Drosophila melanogaster: one gene and its partners. The protein of the gene in region 1 interacts with the protein of each later gene in a pairwise test. Each region holds a gene or a part of one and is shown in the gene's direction. Other genes may lie near its edges.

Region 1 (4,763 bases):
CTGGAACCTCTGGACATACCAGCACTGCGAAACTTACCACCCAAGCCAAGTCAAATGCAGCAGCCAACGCCGCCGCCCAGACCGCCACCCGCAAATCAGGCTCATACTCAGAACCAGAACCTAAGTCACAGTGGTAATGGCAGTTCAAGCGGACTTGCTCATGGGAATGCTGTCCAAACAGCGCTTGTGTCACCGCCAGTAACAGTGGCCACAGCCAGTTTATCGCCGGAAATTCGCATCGAGTCGCCCAAAAACATGACCGTAGTTCAGCAGGCCACTTTCCAGCCGTACAAGGAAGTGACGAAACCCTTCGAGATGTCCGATTTCTACAAATACTCCACCAAGTTTAAGCAAAAGGAGGGCGGAAATCCTAATTGACCTATAAGGTTGTACGGAATTCTCATGCACTTTCACCTTTTAATGTGATTAACTAAACTAATTTTGTAGCACTGAGAAACTACAAAGCAAAAGCAGCTCAAACTATTGGACTCCTTTCGAATTTTAAGTTCGTTAGCCAAATTATTTAGGATCAAGAAAATAACAATGCTCAAAAGATCTGCCAAATTGAAAACTGACGTATTGAAAGCAATTTATCGAACGACATTCAAATTTTGTATTGAATTTTTAAAGTACAAAAAACACAGGACAATATTATCCCCGAGGGGGACAGAAATCGCCTTACAACAGGATGCCTAGAAAATATGGAAATATTTTATATAGTTAACAGCATTTATAAACAAATAACTGACTAGCTAACTAATAAGTGTATAAAGGATATTTACCCTAATCGAATGATATTTTTATATGAATATACCGATTGGATACTGATATATTCACCGAGTTTTCTTAAGACTAACTACCGACAAGCAATAACAAATAGATAAAAATAAATATTTTATATTAAAATATATGCGAGTGCGTTTTTATTGATATTTAAGCATTCAAATATTTCGTTGAACTTCCAATATTTTTCTCAAAACATTATTAATGCTCTTGTAGCATTTCAGATTTTTTGAATAATTGAAATGAAAAGAAAGCTTTATATTTCCCTAGCCTATAAATAAATGTCTCATTTATACCCATAAATGTGTTCTCACTTCCTTAAATCATTCCTTATCGAATATATCTTGTAGTTCCTTAATCTCTGGTTAAAACTTATTTATAGAACAACCGATAAAACTTAATTACTTTCCTCCCCTTTATCTCTCGGATTTCTCTTTGTTTCTCTCGCGATCTGGTAGTAGTACATTGAATTCTCTCTTTTGGACTCTCCCCAACTCAATGCCACTGCAACAAATTTTGTTTACGATTGATTATTTTTAAACAATCTCTTGTTGTGCTTCACTGAGCATTACAGTATCTGGATGGGGAGAAAAAGAGCGTGGATATCCCCCGATACCCCAAAAATATAAAGACTCTTCGCAATGGATTTGGTTCTCAGTTGCATCGCGCTCGCTATTACGTGCAACTGTTTCAGATCGGTTGCACTATTGGTTTTTTTTTGTTTTTAAGTTTCAAATTTGTCGGTTCTTTCTCCCTCGAGGAGCATTGAAAATCACATAATGATAAATTAAGAGTTCACGCTTTAAGTAGCTAGTTTCCCCCATTGTGTTGTCTTCGTGTTAAACTTTAAATTAAAAAAATATCAAATTTTACGTAAAGTCTCCAACCTAACCTACAAAATTATTCGGTTCGTTGCATTCGTCTGTGTTTGTAAGCAAGTCAACCCGAAAAAATTCTAAAATATAGTGTCATCAAAACCACTACGTAAAAACATCAACAAGAAAATGGATCGCATTTGGGCCACATCTAGAATGCCTATAGATATAGCCAACTGACAGGCGCAAGTGTCAACAAAGGCGGCCAAAAAACAGGGAATAGGCCATAAATTATTTGGTTCAAGTGCAGTCACCATGAATCTGTACACTATATACGATTGGGTAAGCCAAACAATCAGGGGTATCCATTAAAGTATTAACCCATTTGGGAGCCGAACATCCATCATCTGTGCTCTCGGATTGTGCATAAAATCCACAAAATGTGGGTTGAATGCGCCTTGATATGTGTGTTTTCAATTCATTACGATCCACAAACAGAACATGTTGTTTTTCAAGTGTGTTTACAAATGAAATCGAAATTGAATGCGCCTTTGAACTTTCGATTAGAAGACCACAAGGCCCTTCCGAAATCTGTAAACAATCTACAGTGAAAAATACCCAACGGATTAGGAATTTTAAATAATATTTTATTTTTTAAATAAGTATTATATTTTATATCATTGAATAGCATACTTTTTATTATTATAGAGCAACTTTTTAAGTGAAAATTATAATTGAATTGTCCACATTATGCGGTTTTAATTGCTTTGTTAAATAACTAATACATTTATTAGTGAATCTTGGCTACTGTTTCCCTGTTTATTATAAACATCAATATTCATATTTTTGAAAAAATGTCTCGCTACAATAACCGATTCGCTTATCGATTTTGTTGAGGAAAGAATGTTTCTGCAACTTGTTGCTGAATAAATCTAATACATGTACCGCAATACGATGAAAATTTTTGGATAATGTATACGAAAATGATCAAAAATTTTTAATATTCATCGAAATGATTAATGGCTCGAATTTCTTATATTAAATTGTTATTGTATACAAATTTTAAAATAAAATTTGAACTTCAAGTTTTTAAACTTAACTTAAAATGTTTTATGATGATTATAGAATAATTATAAATTACTAACTATAAAAAATGAAATATAACAGTTTTTGAGGGACATTAATTCTGATTATAATACTAATTCTAAGTACTTATATATATAGCTACTTCAGTATCAATCGCAATCGCGAATCGTAAAACAATAGTTCTAAATGCTTTTAAAACTACTCTTTTGCATTTATCACCATCTTCCAAACAAATTTATGTTCCACACACACATTTTGTTTATAAATAAAAAATGGGAGCGAACATTCGGTGCACGGAACCGCTTGGAACCGCGTTGCAAATTTCCGCGGCACTCGCTCTCAATCGCTCGGCCTCTCCCGTGGCTGCTCTTTTCCAACGCTTTTCTTTTGATTTTCCTCGGATTGAGTGACTGATTTCAATTGAATGTCTCTTCGGGCGTTTTATTTATAAAAGAACCTGCACTGCAGGCGGTCGCGTCGTCGTTTTTCGGTTTTCCGCACATTTATAGCTCTATAAAGATAAGAGTGCAGTGTCAGTGCCTGTGATCCCATAAAATTGTTTAAAAAAATCTACGAAACATTTGCATATACGTAGAAGTTTGCACAATGTAACCCTCAATAGCCATTGTCGATATATGGACTTTTTAAGTGATTGTAAATTGCATTTAATTGAGATAACTTCTTCATCGCTGAATTGAATCGAATGAGTGGCGGGCAGCGAAATGGGGAAATTGCATGTGAGTTCAGTTATTGTCCGCAATGTGATCTTTAGCATCGCCCAGTGACATTTGCATCACTCGCCAGCCAAAGTGTGTTAATATCATTCGAAACCGCATGATAATGAACCAAATTAGTGGATTTTTTTTGCATTGCAGTGTACTTAGAGAAAATTATACAGTATTTACCATATTTTCTATAAATTTAGTTACGATACGATCTCATTCTTAATTGTTCTTGAATATTATTTATTAGAATTACTATTTGAAAGAATAATGCTGTAAAAGATTTGGTTTGTAAATCAAATAAAATGCGGGTATAGGATATAAAGCAATTCATCATCTACTTCACAATCATATAAATTGTGTGTTCATATGTAAATTTTTATATAAAATATGAAAATGTTAAATGCAAGCGTTTAAGAATTTATATTAAACTAAACCCTTTAAATGAAATAACCTTTCTTCATAGCAACGCAAAAGAAAATCCTTTCTCCAATCCGAATTTATTTTTGTCCAACATATTTCACTGTCAATTCTGCGCCAGGCAAAGCTATTAATTTAATCATTTTCGCCAATATGCGTGCCATTATTGAGGGTTTATCGACAATATCTTGTGGAAAATCAAAGGAAAGGCGTCAGCGCCATTAACAGAGACGTTGGGCTAGGTCCTTCGCCCCTTTTCCCGTTCCAAAGGGGAGTGGCATTGTTGTTATTAGTCGCCGAAGTGCAAAAACCTCAGACGATCCAACTGAAATGTGTGTCACACCCAAACAACGGCCCACAAAAGAGGTCCAAACTATAGCAACAAATTGAAATGTTTGCAAGGAATGTAAAAGACTTTCGTTTTCGTTTTTCACGCACACTCAAAGAAAATCCGTTGTCATGGTTATAGGTGCAAACTTGTTATCCCGATATCCTTATCGCTGTGCTGGTACTTCCTGAATGTGTTGTTGTTGTCTTTGTCCTGACAAGTTCAAGGACGTTCAAACCACCATGTGGCCGGGAATTGGATAACTTTTTCACAAGCATTTTCCGCTAATATTGTGAAAACTTTGTCAAGCGTTACGGCCTGACCCACATGGCGTATGTGTAATATGGAAAATATATTTTTCAGTCGTTCAAAATACAGTACGGACTTGAATTGTATGTAAATTACAATTTAAACTTAATATAAATGGGAAATAACTCTTTTTTTTTTAAAGCAAATATTGCAATAAATATATTTTAAATAAAATTTAAAAAGTTTGCATATATGTAAGCCGACATTTACTGTATGATCTACGATATAAGTTGGAAAAGGCTTATTATTCAAACGTTGAATGCATCGCCTTGGCACATCGCTATATATGCATGCGATCTA
Region 2 (5,163 bases), about 13 Mb from region 1:
TGGTGAAGCCATGTTTGCTTGTGGGATTCCTAAGTTAAATGCCTGAGTTTCTATAAAATCTTGGTTGGAAGCATCATTAGCTGTAGAGGGTTTAGGTGAATCAACTTTTTGTGGCGGTGCCAAGTTAAATGCCTGTGTCGCTATGAGATCTTGATTGGCTTCATTTTCTTGTGGTGCCTGCGGACGTCCTAAGTTAAACGCCTGAGTAGCCACGAAGTCTTGGTTGTTTTGCCCATTGTCTTCCTCGTCACTTTCCAACAATTTATGTCGTGGAAATCGTTGAGTGGCTATCATATCTTGATTCTTTTCCTGACTATTCGTGTCAGGAGTGGCAGTGGGGGTCTCAATCGTCGCCACAACCAGCTGTTTAACTCCGCCAAACTGCGGTGTGGCGGTATTTGTATTGTCCGCAGGACGAACGAACGGATCTGGACTGCTGGAGCCATCGCGCCTCCTATCCCCCCCCATGATCAGGTCAAATAGATCGGGTGTGCAGATATTTCTATCTACGGACGGAGCGGTCAAATCGGGAGTAATGCAGGCATCGCCACGCGGCAATATATCATCCGCTTTGGTGCTACTCAGAGCACAGCATTTGGAATTGCTAGCCGACCAGTTCAAGGCACTCATTTCCATGTCGGTGGTGTCCAGTTGATCTAAGAAGAAAGCGCACATTATTGAAAGTTATCAGTTTCAATGGATGCACATACCCCGCTTAGTATCCTGATTTTCCAGACCTTCAATTGGTGCTGTTGGCGGCGGAAGAGGCAGCAGAACATCGCAGAGTACCTGTGAGGTATCGAAGTCATCGATGGCATCCTCATTATAATCCTGGGTGCACATGCGTATAATGCTGCCCTGAGATGATTCCTCATCGCTGTCTATCGTCGGACCTGGCTTATCAACTACGGGAATAACCGGGGGTTTAAACACTGGTGGTTCAGGTGGAAGATCCGCAAGCATATCCTGCGTTTCGGGTATCATGAAGTCATCGCCCAGCGACACTCTTTGTCCGGTCGAAGGCCTTTCGCATAACACCGCTTGGGTCTCGGGTATAAATAAGCTATCTGCCGTTGTGTTGACTGATGTGTTGGCGGATGGAGGCTGTGTTTCCGGAACATCCATGCTGTCCAAGGTTGTGTTGTTTAATCCGTTCTTCAGGCATTCCCCGAATCCGCTACTGTCGTGGACCTGAACGAAGGGTAAGCATTAAGTTATGCATCCTGTAAGAATGGTATTTGGTGCCCATACCTCATCGTGATCTTCTCCAAACTCTAGCCTGGCCTCCACATTGCCAAAGCGGAGTTTCACCTTGCCGGCCACGGCGTTCTCCATGCCGATGTCCACCACGGTCTCCTCCTGGTCGTTCACAAAGATCTTGCCCACCAGGGCAGCCAGGCGCACCACACCTCGGCGCAGTATGCAGGCTGTGGCGTGGGCCAGCTCCATTGACTGCCCATTGAGGATAGGAGTTATTAAAGGGGAAATGTTTAAGTAAGGGCCAATTTACCTCATCGGCGATGCTTATTTCCAGGCCCTTCTGCCTCCCAATGCGGTAAATGGTATCCGCTTTCAGAAGAATGGCCGGCAAACCGCCAAAAAACAGGCTTACATCTGCCATCCTGGCGGCAGTTCCTTCAAAACTGAAGGACGAAAAAAAAAAACAAGACAATAAATGGAAACAACAAACGCACTGAACGGTCACACTTGAAATGGGCGCCAAAAACAGGCGATATATACGGTAGTGTTAATTACAACAGATATGCCAAAAGGCAAAATAAGACTAACAACGTATATTATTTTTAAAATTATATAGTGCCTTGTGAAGACTAGAATATCGAGCTTTAGTTTTTGTTTTGACACACTGAATAGTGATATACCGATAGTCCATTGTTTTCGATAATCCTGCATTGCCACGTGCACCTGGCAACCCTGTGCATCACCATGGCAATCGGTGGTTAGTTTCACTTTTGTTTTGAAACAACAATTATTGTACTATAAGCATACTATTAATACAGTTAACCATGAGGCATGAGTGATACCGATACGGACGACACCGATCTGCTGCTCCTGATACCACCGAACTTCTGCGCGGAGGACAAAATGAGCGCATGCGCGGCGGCAGATGCGTTGGCCATGCCCCCGCCCCCTCCCCCGGCGACCACAAGTGCAGCGTACCAGTTCCTACATCCCAGCAAGAAATCGGAGCTGAATAGCATCAATTCCCGGCTGCAGAACATCGCACTGGATGCGGAGGAGCCTCCCTCGGACATTTCCACCATATCCACGAATACTGTAAGGAACGCTGGAAGGCCAAGTAGGGAGCTCCACGGCATGGTGCACTCCACGCCGAAGAGTGGGTCCGTTGAGCCCCTCCGCCATCGACCACTGGACGACAACATTCTGCTCGAAATCGACCACTACCTAGACGACAATAATGCGCACCGTTGGCAGAGGCACGATCACCACCTGCATCACCGCAGCGACGATCATCTGAGGAACGAGCGGGCGGGGAAAGAGGGTCATCCGGGAACCTCGTCTCTGCCCAGCATGAGGCTGGCCTCATCATCCTCCGGCGCCGTTTCTGTCGAAGCAGCCAGGGTCGATCGAAGCAGCCTGAATGAGAACAAGATCATAAGTCTGAGCGAGCTCTGGGGCAAGAGCAGCTTGACCAAAACTGTACTCGACAACAACTCGCCCAACCGACCACTGTGCAGCTCTTCCCTAAAAGAGGAACAACTCAGAAGGCAGCATCTGGAGAAAATGGTGCACACACTGCAGTCGCATCTTTTGGAGTACCAGCAGCGAATCTCAGTGGCCATCGAGGTGGATCGTTCGAAGGATGCTGCTCTCACCGAGGCAGAGCAAACAGTTCAAAGTCTCAACTACGAGGTTCAGCACCTGCGGGACGCTGTCCACCGGCTGGAAGCGGACAGGGGCGAATCCCAGAGCCGGTTTGATGCACTGCAGAACGAGTTGTCGCAGGCGGTCAACTTGGCCACCAGGTTTCAGGAAAAGAATGATAAACTCGAAAGGGAGTTGGACCATTGCAGGCAAGACGCCAAGCAATGGGAAGAAAGACTGGAGCAACTGGAAATGCAACTCAACAGCAGCAAAAGAGCGGAGGAGCTGTCACATGCCGAGCTGAATAAGCTAAGGGATAAGTTTGCCAAGGTAGACTACCAACAAGAAAAGGTAATTTAAAAATAAGATTTCAACCACGGCCACTTTAACCACATTTCTTATATATAAGCTAAAAGCGCGGATAGAGGAACTGGAGAAGGAAAATAACACGCTGACCAATCAAAAGGAAATGCTGCAAGAATATCATCAGAAGCAGAAAGCAAGAGCGGATTCCTTGGAGAGCCATCGTAAATCCCTACAAGAAACTCTGGCGAACCTAACTGAAACTGAGGTTATTTAAAAATAAATACAAAAAAAAAAAGAACTCAATAATAAATGATTGTTGTTTTGCAGACCAATCTCAAGAAGAAGCTAGATATACAGCAGAAATCCCTAAAGCAATACTACCAACAGCAAATGGAAAATGTTGTGGCCAAGAAGATGCAGGAGTTCCAGGACCAACTGGACAAGAATGAGGAGCATTTAAAGAACGAAGCTCGGGAGCGTGAACGACTCATAGCCGAGCGGGCAGTAAAGCAGCTTGAAATGATCAATGAGAAAAACAACCAGGAATTGAATCTCATCCAGGAAAAGCACAACGAGGAGGTGGAGCTGTACCGCCTTCAACTAGCGAATGCCTCGAAGAAGATCGATGAAATGGATCTCAAGCTCAGCTGTTACAAAACAAAGCGGTAAGATATGAGAGCCTTATTTGTTTTCTGGTTTAAATAGAAATGGTTTTTTTTTCCATTCCAGTGCTGATATTGCGGAGAAACTGCATGGGGTAATGGAGGCCCAGTGGCAGCAGGCCCTTGCTATCCTCACCACTCCTAGTCAAAACTCCATTATCCAATCCAGTGACACTGAAGCCAGTGAATCTCCGGAGCTAAATAATGCACGCATGTATCCAGAAACGCCCAAATCGAGCAAATCGCAGCGCAGCAACAACACTGAGAAGAATAACCTGGATGTGGTGGGCAAACGGGATCCCCCCTCGCCGATGGACAAGCTGCAGGCCTACATTGAACTGCTGCTCAGCAAGTCGCCCAGTGATTTCGACAGGCTCGACGAGATCTTGGCCATGACATCCAAACAGGGTAGCAAACAAAGCAAACCAAAGAGCGGAAGTGGCAACAGTAAGCCTCCACCTTGGAAGTGCTGACAACGAGAGATGCTTTCGACAAGTAATATTCTATCTAGTAATACCTGTAGTTTTTTAAGAATGACTGCCTCTTTGAATGGCCGCTACAATGGACATTGTAGTTGTATATTTTTCTATGGAATTCTGAAAGTAAATAGTTTAGTTTTTGCAAAATATGATTGTTTATTTGATAATATCAACAATTGAAGGCAGCGTGGCATTTGTATGCAGCACGGGAAAAACAAAGGTGAAAATTTTAAATGTAATAATAATATAAAGTTTTGGTACAAAAGGTGTATTTTACAGCTCTATGAGACCTAAGCCTAGGAATCTTGTGATATATTAATTTTGTGGCTGTCGCCAGCGAATGTTGTATTTTATATCTTTTAAAAGGATTTATTCTTTGATTCAGCTGTTTCTTAGATCGTTTATGTGTCTGTCATTGATATGCTTTGAGTTGAATTATTGAGTATTTTCCCATTAACATTATTTGTAGACGATTTGAGGGAATTTCGGGGCATTTCCATAGAGCCCCTCTGATTCCCAGACTTGGATATGGGACTCTCGCGTTAGCACCACCAAATGCTGATGGGTTGAGTAGCAAATGCTGCAAGTTAAGCAGGGATTAGATTGTATTTTATTCGAATATGGAGCCACTTCTCTCTTACCTACGAATGGGCGATGTACCCGTGGTCAGCTCACTGACGAAGCTCAGGTTCCAGCTGGACCAGAAGCGCACGAATCCTCCCTCCACAGCAGTGGCTATCACGTTGACACCCACTCCTTCCTTGATGTAGGAGTAGCACACGGCCAGGATACGATCCTCGTGCACCAGGTGCTGCACATACCGCGCGTTCACTGAGTGCAGCCTCAAAATGGACTTGCCATTGGGATTCACA
Region 3 (5,815 bases), on another chromosome or scaffold:
TGGAAGCGGCTCGTCTGGGAGCGGAGCGGGCGGCGAGCATCTGAACGATAATTCCAGCAACGATAAACTTGTAAAGAGCGGCGTGCAAACTTCGCCAGATGGTGAGTGCTGGAACACTTCTCACAACATGTGAGAGAGCTATTTTTGACCTTTTGATCATTTGGAGCTTTGAATTGAACACTCTATGGATGATTGATACCATTTAATCAATGGATTTCTTGGTTTCTATTATTATTTGTTTCATATTATAATTCGGTGATTTCGGTGTACATCACAAAAGCCCAACAGCTATACTATCCTTGACCCATTTTATCCAGAAATAATAGTACCATGAAATATTTTATTTATTTAAAAATGTAACAAATTTACCTTTCGTTCGTTTTGCATAAATAGGGAAGGTCACAAACATACCAGCGACCATGGTGAACAACCAGTTCGGCATGGTTGGCCTGCTGACGTTCATTCGGGCTGCAGAAACGGATCCCAATCTGGTGACGCTCTCCTTGGGTACGGATCTCACGGGTTTAGGCCTGAACCTGAACTCGCAGGAGAGCTTGCATACAACCTTCGCTGGCCCCTTCGTAGCACAGCCCTGCAGGTCAGTTTACATAATAAACTTACATAATTTAATTGCTTATTGAGTACTATTGAGTAAGAGGTGTACCAAATTAGTAACATTGGATTTGCATTTACTTTTTTCAGAGCACAAGACGTTGAGTTCAACGTGCCACCCGAATATCTGATTAACTTTGCGATAAGAGACAAACTAACAGCGCCGGTACTGAAAAAGCTGCAAGAAGACCTGCTCTTTTTCCTTTTTTACACGAACATCGGCGATATGATGCAATTGATGGCAGCTGCTGAATTGTGAGTACTTCCTCTTGCGTAGCTATTATCTAAGCTTCGTATGAACATATATAGAACATACATATATACTAAAATTCTGCTCCCATCGCAGGCATAGTCGCGAGTGGCGATACCACGTGGAGGAGAAAATATGGATAACTCGAATTCCTGGCATTGATCAATATGAAAAAAATGGTACAAAAGAGCGCGGCACCTTCTACTACTTTGATGCGCAAAGTTGGAAACGTTTGTCCAAGGTTTTCCAAATAGATCCCGAGAAATTAGATAAATGTCCCAATATAAGTGCGTTTATGAATGGACAGTCTGTATAAAATTAATAAAAATGAAAAAAATTGAAAAAGAAAGTATGCTGTTGTTTTTGCATTGCAACAAGGACACTCAACACTAACTGAATAATAAGTTTTATTATAAAAATTAAAAACAATCCATTTGAGTTTTTCTTCTAAAACGGTGTTAGGATATATATACATACATATATGCATATGTATGTATGTGCAAATTCTGGTACAAATTGCCGGTTAACAATTTAAAGCGATTTATTTTTATCCTGCTGGAGTCTAGTTGGTATTCATATTTTTAGAATATCTTTGAAATGTAACATTTTTTAGCTGTTCGATATTATGAAATGAGCGGACTCCCATTAAATTAAAAAGCAAGTTATATTTTTTCGATTCGTTGAAATGTATTTGAAAGGTAGAAGAAATTCTTTCTATAAAGTGATCCTATAAAAAATTACTGGCCGTGTCTGAAAATACATACCTGTCATCTGGACTAACACGACATACATATGTATGTATATTCCAATAGCAAATCTACTGCATTCTGCAATGCACAACAGCTCCCCCTATCAATGATACGACGGAACCATAGTTGGCATGATAATACATACATACAATATCATCTTCAAGCTTGTGTATGCCTGGCAGGTCTATTGTCGGGGCCACAATCTTTTCGACATATCGGCAACTTTTTGGGAAAATATTTATTTTTAAATTTAACAATTACAGTTTATGTACAAGTATAGAATAAAAACCTAATTCCCTTCTAGACTGTATGTAGTGTGAACGCAATGTTTTCGCTACAGAAGCGCTTACTGCACTTAACAGCACGCGTTACTATGTTAATGTCAAAGTGTCAACAGAAGCAAGAGGAAGAAAATTAGAGTTGCCTACGAAAATAGCGCCTGCGCCTCGGAATTTATTTGAATTTGATGCTTGTGGCGTCCCCTTAGCCGAATATGAACACGCCAGGTATAAGCCTCTTTCAGGGGGCGGATGCCCTTAACATAAATTCTACACTGGACCGGCAGGAGGAGGAAGAGGCGCTGCAGGATCAGAAACGACGCGAGGAAGAGGTAAGCGATCTGGGAATTCCTGGTAAACAATGTCACCGATTCCAATTCTACGCAAGCTTGGACGGATTATGGTGAATGCCTTCGACGATCTGCTCGATGAAGAGAACACAATCGACTCGACGACGAATTACCAGTCGGAACTGGAACAGCCGCCAGTTCTACCCAACTACCCATCACATCCGCACCATAAACCGCTGCAGGACGATGCTCAGCGAGCCAACGAGATCGAGATGCATCGCCTCCAGATCCTGCTGGAGTCTAAGAATAATGAGCTGCAGAATGTCAACCAGGTGGCCAACGCTGCGCACAAAAAACTGGATGACTTACAAAAGCACCTATCCATCATGCAGGCTGAGCTAGACCGCGCCATTCGCGAGAAGCAGAACACTCACGAGCTGTTGGTGGAGACCAAAGAGACGTGCTCCAATAAGGACAGCGATCTGGACAAGCTGCGGTCGGAAAAGAAGCAGTTGGAAGAAGATAACACGCGATTAGTTGGTCAATTAGAGGCCGCCAAGACCTTGCTTACGGACGTCCAAAGCAAATACGACATGGTGCAGGCCAGTAAGCAGAAGTGGGAGGAGCGGAACGCCGACCTACGTTTAAAGCAAATGGAGGAAGCGCACCGAGCCCAGTCCGATCTTTTGCAGCAGCAACTCTGTCAGATGAAGGATCAGCTTGATCGCAAGCAAAATGAGTTGGATCAGATAAACTCGCGCTACAATGCTCTGCAGTCTGGTCACGAAACAATGCTCGTAGATAAGGCTGCCAAGATTAACGAGCTCAGTCAAGCTTTGGATGAGGCCCAAATGCGCTGCAACCAACTAAGTGCAAGACCCGATTTGCAGGCTGAAAATCGTCGGCAGCAACAGTGCATCGTTGACTTGAAAGCCCGCATTGCCTATTTGGAGCAAACAGTCGCTTCGCTCCATGAGCGCCTAAACGAAACCACCACGGAACTTGACCTGATAGATTCGGTTATTCAACAGCATCAGGCGGACGAATCGCCTACTAGTCGGCTAAGTCAAATGGGTGGATCGCGCCTTGTTGGTAGCACACCGCTGAATCCTCTAGACAGAGTCGGTCACATTAAGCAGGAGTTGTATCGAGCTCTGGGCAACCTGAAGAACAAGCGGGAAGAAGTGCGACGCCTAGAGAAGCTCCTGGAGGAACGCAACCAGGAACTGCGCGTGCTGCGCGACCAGGAGAACCAATCCCTGGTTCAGCTGGAAACCCTAAACGAAGGCAAAATGCGGTTGGAAAACAAAGTGAAGGCAATGCAGCAGGAGTTGGAAGAGCAAAAACACAGATCACAGCAGGAGTCAGATGTGCACTCACAGCTGAATTCCATTGTGGCCGAGAGGGATGCACTAAGGGAAAAACGGCAGCAGATTGAAGAAGATCTGGAGCAACTAAAGCAGCAGAACGAGAGCCTTCAAAGAAATTACGATCAGCTTTCGCAGGAAAATCGGCAGTTGCGAACTCGAGAAACTGCAGACAACCTGCGCTTGGAGCTGGAACGCCACAAGATTCTGTTGAGGGATTCCCAGAGCGAGGTCGAGCGGCTTAAGAAACTCTATTCTGACATCGCCACAGACAAAGAGTCATTAGGCTATGAATTGAGAAAGCTGAGAGAATCGGACACGCTTAAGGAGTTGCAGGATCAACGCCAAAACTTGGCCACTGTTCAGCGAAACTTGCAGCTGGCGGAGATGAAATCAGAGGAGCTAAAAAAGCTTCTGGAAACGGAGAAACTCAGCCACGAACGTGATCTGCAGGCCTTGCGCCAAAGGAGCGAGCGGGAAAAGCGCGAAGAAGCAGTTGCGGTGGCCAAAGAAAGTTCCGAAAACTGCAGCAAGTGCATTGAAAGCATAGCAGAAATTACCAAGGTAAGCGATAACCTTTCAGACATGCTAGTAAACTAAATAATCTTATATATCACCACGGTTTTTAGGCGGAAATTCAGTTGTTGAAACTCCAGAATGTGAACTCAATGCAGGCCAAGGAACTGAAAGAATTGGAACACGCGCTGGAGCAGTCTAAAAATTTGCAAGCCGAGATGCAGGAAAAGATCGAGCTTTCAAACAAGCAGGACGAGCTCATTAGCGATCTTAAGGAGAGGGCCAAGCAATTCGAGGCGTACATTAGGCAGCAAGAGGAGCATAAGCAGCAGAATAAGTGTACGCCCAGTCCGAAATCAAACTCAGTTTCCCCGTCTGATCCATCGCCCAAAGAGCTCACCCAGAATCGGATAAGGTTGATCGAACAACGTGTTCGTGATGAGATGGCCAAACTTTTTGCAGCAGAACTCAAGAGGTTTACTAACCGGCTGCAAAAATCTGAGGAGAGGAGCCAGTGCCTCCAAAGGGAATACCAAACGGTGTGTGCAGAGCTGCAACAGCGGCAAACGGAGGTGGATCTTCTAAAGCAAACTATCCTGGCAGAACGCGAGAATATCGATGAAATTCTGGCCGGCAGGGAAGAAAAGCAAAAGGAAATGCTGCAGAAGTGCCGCCAGGAGCTGCAAGCGAAGAACCAGCGAATTGCCGAACTGCTCCGAGAAGTGGAGGAGCAGCACGCCAGCATCGACTCCGAAAGGCAATCTATGAAGGCTGTGATGGCTCAGTGGGAGAAACAGCGCCAGTCAGTCGACCAGGTGGAACACCACTGGCGCCAGCAGCTGGAAAGCTTGCGTTCCACCCACGAAGAGGCGATGCGATCCGCACAGCAGCGATATCAAAGTGCCAAGCGTACCGCCCACAATTACAAGTTGTATGCCGAGGACAAGGAGGCGCACATGAAACGCGAGTATGAGCGCATTAAGCACGAGTACGAGCTATCACTCGCCAAGATCGAGGCGACCATGAACCAGCACCTGGAGCGGCGGAGTCGGGAGAAGCACCGCGACAAAGAGAACGTGCCCAGCAATAGCAGCAGCGACCCAATCACCAACTCAAATAGAAAGCCCAAAGGCAATGGTCACAGCTAAGACTTAGGAAAATATATATATGTATATGTAGGTCTCTTTAGTGGGATATCGTTACTGCATGCACTGCCAAATTGTCTAAACAAATAAAAGTCGCTGTACATTCCTAACAAAATTGTGCTTATAAAAATCAGCTAAAAAAGTGAAAGTTTATCATTAATATTAAAAAATAGGTTTTTTATTTGATTGTTGTTTCTAGTAGGCTCATAATTTTTTCATTTTTAGTTTGAAAAATCTGGTTCCAGCACTTGTTGAAAATGTCGAAGAATTTGTCAATCTCCTCTCGGGTTATTCCAATTCCTGCCGCTACAGTCAGGTACGGAACTTGCAGGTTGCTGCGGTGGGAGCCGAAATCTAAGCGAAATATTCTAAATTTTAGTCGGAAAACAAAGACGATAGTGAATATTACTTGCCTAGAAACTCATGCCCGTCTATAGTTTTATTTTGGCCAGGAACTATCACTCTTGCTCCGGAAACTCCACGCATGTGTAGCATGGAGCCAAGCTTGGTGATGCTCTTCATCTGATCCCCAGCCAAAGTGGCCAATGTTATGGCCAAGGATATGGAGTTAAACCTGCTGTCTATAACAATCTCTCCGCGTGGCTCTG
Region 4 (6,498 bases), 1.5 Mb from region 1:
AGTTTCTGCTTCATAATAATTTTCTTCTTGAGGCGAACTAGGCTGCCTACAAAGGTAAGCACCTGAACCCGAATCGAAGCGTCGAACTGCTTGTTTCTCGCAATCATCAGACAAAACTCCAGAAGCAGCTTCACATTACCGGTCAGCAAGTGGGGCACATGCTCGGCCATGCTGTCGATGATATCAAAGGCACCCATGAACTCAATACTGTACCCCTTTTCGACAAAGGCGGCCAGGGCCTTGAGTATGAGCGGCACAGCCTTAACCACAATCTGCTCAGCATTACTATGTCCACTTACGAAAGGCAACAAGAAGCATGAACCGGTCAGCATGTTATGCACGGTGGGTGTGGCCATGTTCCCATTCGCCTCGGCGGTAACTAGAATGCCGGCAAGCAATGGGAACATAGTATCCGTGTGGTCCGAAAACTGATCGGGAGCAGCGTCCATGAGCGAGGAAAAGATTGAGCTGCCCCGCTCGCTTTCTATTGGATCGGGGCTGCTGCAACGTTCGTAAATAAACTTCAGTATTTCCTCCCTCCAGGAGTTTTGCTCGCCCTCCTCGTGGCGCACCAGCGATCCAATTATAAAGGCCACCGTGCCCTTCACGGTCTTTTCCTTCACCGCGATGAGGACCTGTAGCATGTTCGATTTGATTCTAAAAAACATGCATCCGTTACTGTATCATAGTCATTAAAAGGTAACCAGTTAACTCACGCTGCCTGGTGCTCGGCGGGAACCAACTGCCAGTGGCGTAACTTTTTGACCCGCCTCTTGAGGAGCACGGCGGCGACCTGCCGCTCTTGGACCGGCCTGTCCGACATCACGATCTGGGTGAGAACCAGCAGAGAATCGGGATTCTCGTAGGCCTTTAGCATCTTGGCTGTGGACTAAGGAAGCGAAAGAAATGGAACTTTATTAGCGACTTTTATGGCCCTATGCTATCATGCTATCAACATAAGTAATTTTTCAATTAGGAAGCGACGAAGTGTGCGTCCATTCGAGCAATGTAATGGTATATCCACGAGTTTAATGCAAATAAAAATATAATATTAATTAATTATTATTAATTATAATTATTTTTATAATTTTTATAATAATTTTTTTTAATAATTATTATAATTATTATTTATATATAAATAATTATTTCTAAAAAAGTGCAATAGTTTTCGGAAGTTTGTTCTGATCAAATAGAACATTAAACATTAAATTAAAAAAAAAAAAAATATTATACACCTATTTTTACAGCTAAGTGTGGATTCAACTTAACTGATCAGACAAACGTGAAGCAGTCAGAAAGGAAAGCATACATGAAAGACATCCATTGGCGCCCAGGATAACCTCCTTTCTTATTGCCGGATGGCCCGCTTTGCTCACCTCACGGATTCGTTCCGTGTCTATGGTCAGGATCCCGTTGATTATATCCAGAATAGCTGCCTCCATTTTTGGGGAGTTACTGTTCGCGCCCAGGCGGATAATCCAATGCAATCCGGTACAAATTGCAGACGACGTTACGCGGTATTGAGAATTGAAAAGTGGAATACCGGGGAGAAATCCCCGTCGCACGTTTTGCGCTTGTTGCAGTTTACAGTTTATCGTAAGCTTATTTTACATTCTACTCTTGAATTGGCTAGCGGTTATCATTGCGGTTTAACGAGTGGGGATGTAACGTAAATTTATCTCGCGCAGTTAATTGGTGACTTGTGTTAACATTTTTCTTTAATATATGTATTTATGTTTTTTTGTTTATTATATATGTGTATTTATGTTTTTTTGTTTATTGTGGAGTTTTGATATATGCGCTAGCAGCAGTGATGCAGTAGAATACTAAAAATATTTACATTTTTGACATTTGATCGACCGGACAAGTAAGCAAAGGCCGCTTCGACACTAGTATGCAGCCCTGGATCTTTTATCATTTATCGACGTCCATTTTTGATCGAAGCGACGCGCCTTTTTTTTGTTTTCGCGTTCGCACTGCAAACTGTAACTGTTTAAGGACAAAGCGGAATGGACAGTAGCAGTGGAAGCCAAGGAAATGGCAGTTTCATGGACCAGAACTCGCTGGGCATCCTGAACATGGACAATCTAAAGGGTAAGCAGGTGGAGCACGCCGGAAATAAGCCGAAGCAGCAAGTAATCCTCATTCCCTACAGTCTTCGGCGACTTGTCCAGCTTCAGCAAAAGTGGAAGGAGGAGCGGCACTGGTCGGGACTCTCCCGCCGTCCACGAGCGGCTCCGAGAAGAACGACTGCGTGCGCTGGAGACACTGGAAAAGCCCCGACCGTCGCGTTCCAGCCAAGCAAAGAGCACTGCCCTCCAGATGCGCTTGTCCACAAACATCTCGGAGCTGGTAACAGACGACACCATCGATCTGAACAGCAGCAGCTCCTTTGCTTTGGTCACGCCCGCCACCAAGGGCACAAACATCTCTTTTGAGCCTGCGGAGATCACCGGCAGGTCCACACTCTGCCAGGCGGGAAAACAGCGCCGCAGGGAGAAGCCATCCCTGTCGGTGGCCGAAATTCTAAAGTCATCCTTCGTTGAGAAGGCTCGCCTGTTGGAAAGGAAGCTGCAGGATGCCAGTCAGGCGGAGGCCAGCTATCACTTATCACGTGGCAGCTCCAGCAGCCTCTCAGATTCATTCAACTGCTCGCGCAGCTTACCGCGCACTGCGGACATGAGTGAACTGAGTCTTAACGGAGGTGGGGGATTTTCCTTTGGATCTGCCTCGTTGGCGGCGGAAGGCCAGGATGAGAGCTTTGCTCCCGCCGAGCTAATGCAGTCCAAATTGGTGCTCGGTGAAATCTCCTGGGCGCAGGAGTTCACGGCCATGCCGACGGCCACGTTGAGCACACAGGCGTTGAAGAAGATTGCCGCACCAACATCCGAGATAGAAACCTCGGTGTCCAAGTAAGCAACATAAAATAGTCTTCCAAATATAATTTGATCAACTTTCAACTTTTATTTACAGTTCTGTCTTGGCCGGAGATCCAGACTTTTCGCTGGGCAACTACTTCCAGACGCGTTCGGAAAATATATGGAACATTGTGAGCAATAGCAGCCCGAATCGTTCGCGAACCAACCAACCGCTATTGGAACCAGAAAGTAACGTGACACTGGATTCGGTTGGCGAGAAGACCCCACAGCCAGACAATAAAACATACACTAAAACGGATGCCATAACTGGCTCGAATCTCGGACGCAATCTTATGCGTAAGATGCAACAGGATCGGATTGAAACTGCGCTAAAGAGCAGGAATGGTCTGGCAGCCAAAGAGACCAAGCGTCCGCCGTCGAGCTCCGAGATCCTAAGTCTCTCCGCGATCGACAAGGCGCTAAGGGACATAGATCTCAATTCGGATACATCCACTGTAGAGGTTGTCAACCACCTGTGGGAGCATGGTCGTGGAAACAATTATGACGATGGGGAAAACAAGGAGAACCAGAGCAGCAACTCCCATGCGGAGCGCACTTCGTGCGGCTCCAACAAGCTTACCGACACCATGAGTTTCACGGACTCTGTGCTAAACTCAACGGATTTTCGTCATTTGCAGCAGAGCATCTCGCGCAAGCCGCTCAGTCCGCTGGCGGACCATCCGCAAATCACCATCAGCCGTGCGGACACCGATCCCGTAGAGACAGAAGCCGAGGCGGACATCGATGAGTGGCCCTCGACGCCGGTAAAGGAGCCTAGCCGCAGAGTGAGACGTACTAAGATTTCTCCAAGAGCCGCAAGTCCGTCGAGTAGCGACGGCGTACGTCCACTGACCTGCACCGAGGATGAAAACGATGAGGAGGACGAGGACAAGACGCCAGTGAACAAGAAGAGGGTTTCGATCGCTACAATGGGCTTGATTCCGCGCAAAGCCTCCTCCTTAAGCAGCACTCGCTTGGATGGTTGTGACGTTGCCGTGGCCTCTTCTACCGAACGTGATTTTGGCATTTCACCGAACCTGGCCAAAAATCTATCGCCCCTGTCCTCGCCAAGAAGCTGTCTCTCGTCGCCGCTGCTGGACAGCACAACCAGTTCCGACCGCCGGCAGCTCATGAGTGGAGCAGCCCGCAAAGCAAACTCCTCGCCCGCAGGTAGTGAGGCCAGTTCCACCAGCGGATTCACAGCGAGTGGAAGACGTGGGTTGGGAACCAGCTCTGTTGCAGTGCCACGTAGTATTTCGCGCTGCTCGAACTCTAGTGAGTTCAGTCATCGCGATGGAAAACTGCTCCCCCTAAAGGTGACCCACACGACCCTCTGTTGGGGAAGCACAAAGCTGCGGACAGATGTGCGTAAGTCCATGCAGGTTAAGAACACAGCGGACAAACGGCTGGTCATTCGGCTTGGCATCCAGGGACCCGGATTCCAGCTGGTGGGCACCGACAGCAGCACGATCACACTCCAAGCCATGGAATGCCGCTCGGTAGTGATCAACTTTTGCCCCACTGTCTGTGGAGCGGCCATCGGAGCCTTGTCTTTCTATGCACCACCAGGAGCGCATAACAGCAACCAGCCGGGCCTAGAGATTCCGTTGTACGGCTACGGGGGCAGTGCGTCCATCACCATAAACGGTCTGCTAAAGGGACCGGTGGGCGCCAGTTTCCTTACCATCGGCGATGTATGCGAGCTGTCCGCTGGTCCGCTTTCGGCGAATCTCAAGTTTCACAACAAGGGCCCTCTCACCGCTTTCGTTGGTATATCAGTGGACTCCACCGTGCTCATGAAACTGCGCCTCAGCGAGGCCTTCGAGGTACGTCCGAGCCGCTTGATATTGCCGCCAAATAGCGAGCGCTGCGTGCAGATACTTTTCCGACCGAATCGTGAGGACTTGAAGAACATACTTAAGAAGACCGCACAGGTGTTGACCCTGGCCAATATGCGGATTTTCTGCGGAGACGAGCCCAACAGACAGCGTATGCGTAGCTTGGTCCAAAGGATGAGCAGCCGACAGCGAGAGAAACTCACATCGCCGATGCTGGACAGCATTTGGGGCGAATTTCCGGACGAGCAGCCAGTGCGCAACATCGGTCAGCTGAACGAACCGCCAGAGTTTATTCTGGACTTGGTCACAGTAGTGCGGATTATTGATGTTGCGCTTACCCTCAATCGGGACTTTGATGAATCGTCTGAGAGTTCCCTGATGTTCCTGCCGGAGGCCGACGAAACCGTGCTATTCCGCACCATATGTGTGGCCAATTCGCCGACGCCAACGCAGAGCCATCTATTGGAGCCAGTGGATGAGCTATTGGAGGCGGACACCACAACGTTGACGCCCGTCGAGCAAAACTGGTGTGTGCAGCCAGGTTTGCTGGAATTCGGAGTGGGCTGTTCGCCACTGGCCACTTTGTCCGTAACCAACAGCTTCTGCTCCAGGCAGCTCATCGAGGTCACATGCAATGTGCCCGATTTGGTGCGAATCAGTCCCAGTGAGTGCTACGTATCCCCGGATGGCGGCCACGCGGAGATCGATGTGCGCCTGCTCCGCTCACCCAGGCAGGATTTGCTCGAAAGGGAGCCGCTCATTGTGGTCTCCATGGAAAACGAGCGCATCAGTGTCCCGATTAGTTTTAAATTTTAAAATTTGTTTTATTTGTGCCTGCTAATTCTGCTTTCCCTATGTTTGTGTAGTTAGTTTAAACAAAAATTGTATTGTGTACTTGTGAAATGAAACCGTGTTTGCAGAGTATTTGTAAGGAAAACGCATAACCCTAAAGTTAAAATACTCGCTTGTTTCCTAAAAGTTGAATTTAGCTTAAATAAAAACTAATAAAGTATATGAGTTAATTTTAAATTTTGATATGTTGCTCTCGAATATTCAAAAAGTAACGTATATGTAGCGATAGTTCGTCGAAAAGTGAGTTGGCGGGCACATTGCAAGGTGCAAGCCGAGTACGGTCACACTGAGGAAAGTGCATCATTTAATTTCCAGCATTTTCCGATGAAAATGGATGCCGACAGCAGTGGAACCCAGCATCGAGGTACCCACTATATAGTATAACCGATCTGATCAGATTCTGATCCAGTGCCATCTTTTTGTTGTTTTTTTTCTAGTGTCATATTGTGTGAAATGTGAAATGGATGAGAATGAACGCTGGACGACCAGACAGAGAAAGAGAAGCTAGGACAATAGGACTCTCAACTGCGCATTACGTGGATTCCGTCTCCGACGATGCGCCAAACACTATGCGTTAGATGCATTGACTAACCGCACACTCTTTTCACATAGATTCCCGTGGCTCAAGGTCTCGATCCCGGCGAGAAAGAGAATACCATGGGCGATCAAGCGAGAGGGACAGCAGAAAGAAGGAGCACAAGATTCCGTACTTTGCAGACGAGGTTCGAGAACAGGATCGGTTGAGAAGATTGCGCCAAAGAGCGCACCAATCCACCAGACGCACTCGCTCCAGATCCAGATCACAGTCGTCCATCAGAGAGAGCAGGCACAGAAGGCATCGCCAGCGCTCTAGGAGCCGCAATCGCAACCGAAGTCGCAGCAGTGAACGA

Evidence for each region.
Region 2: the proteins of Plp (region 1) and Cnb interact in a two-hybrid assay, tested with the Drosophila melanogaster proteins (one study listed by BioGRID).
Region 3: the proteins of Plp (region 1) and asl interact in a two-hybrid assay, tested with the Drosophila melanogaster proteins (2 studies listed by BioGRID).
Region 4: the proteins of Plp (region 1) and spd-2 interact in a two-hybrid assay, tested with the Drosophila melanogaster proteins (2 studies listed by BioGRID).

The regions. Positions count from the first base shown.
Region 1 is NT_037436.4:15,086,969-15,091,731, reverse strand, and holds the start of Plp (Pericentrin-like protein), read left to right. Parts: upstream 1-1,538; 5' UTR 1,539-1,913; coding exon 1,914-1,940; intron 1,941-3,178; exon of another isoform or gene 3,179-3,406; coding exon of another isoform or gene 3,407-3,421; intron 3,422-4,763. Other genes in the region: sstn (stepping stone), read left to right, coding at 1-378.
Region 2 is NT_037436.4:1,945,829-1,950,991, forward strand, and holds Cnb (centrobin), read left to right. Parts: upstream 1-1,736; 5' UTR 1,737-1,957; intron 1,958-2,018; 5' UTR 2,019-2,031; coding exon 2,032-3,195; intron 3,196-3,253; coding exon 3,254-3,415; intron 3,416-3,477; coding exon 3,478-3,815; intron 3,816-3,879; coding exon 3,880-4,285; 3' UTR 4,286-4,434; downstream 4,435-5,163. Other genes in the region: mu2 (mutator 2), read right to left, coding at 1-656, 711-1,191, 1,252-1,452, 1,511-1,621; mv (mauve), read right to left, coding at 4,751-4,871, 4,933-5,163.
Region 3 is NT_033777.3:5,602,736-5,608,550, reverse strand, and holds asl (asterless), read left to right. Parts: upstream 1-2,007; 5' UTR 2,008-2,104; coding exon 2,105-2,221; intron 2,222-2,277; coding exon 2,278-4,110; intron 4,111-4,175; coding exon 4,176-5,210; 3' UTR 5,211-5,315; downstream 5,316-5,815. Other genes in the region: Rga (regena), read left to right, coding at 1-101, 394-598, 703-867, 959-1,178; SecS (Sec synthetase), read right to left, coding at 5,386-5,561, 5,621-5,815.
Region 4 is NT_037436.4:16,590,478-16,596,975, reverse strand, and holds spd-2 (spindle defective 2), read left to right. Parts: upstream 1-1,961; 5' UTR 1,962-2,009; coding exon 2,010-2,094; intron 2,095-2,155; coding exon 2,156-2,912; intron 2,913-2,973; coding exon 2,974-5,572; 3' UTR 5,573-5,769; downstream 5,770-6,498. Other genes in the region: Apl (apollo), read right to left, coding at 1-657, 717-889, 1,377-1,442; tra (transformer), read left to right, coding at 5,933-5,972, 6,221-6,498.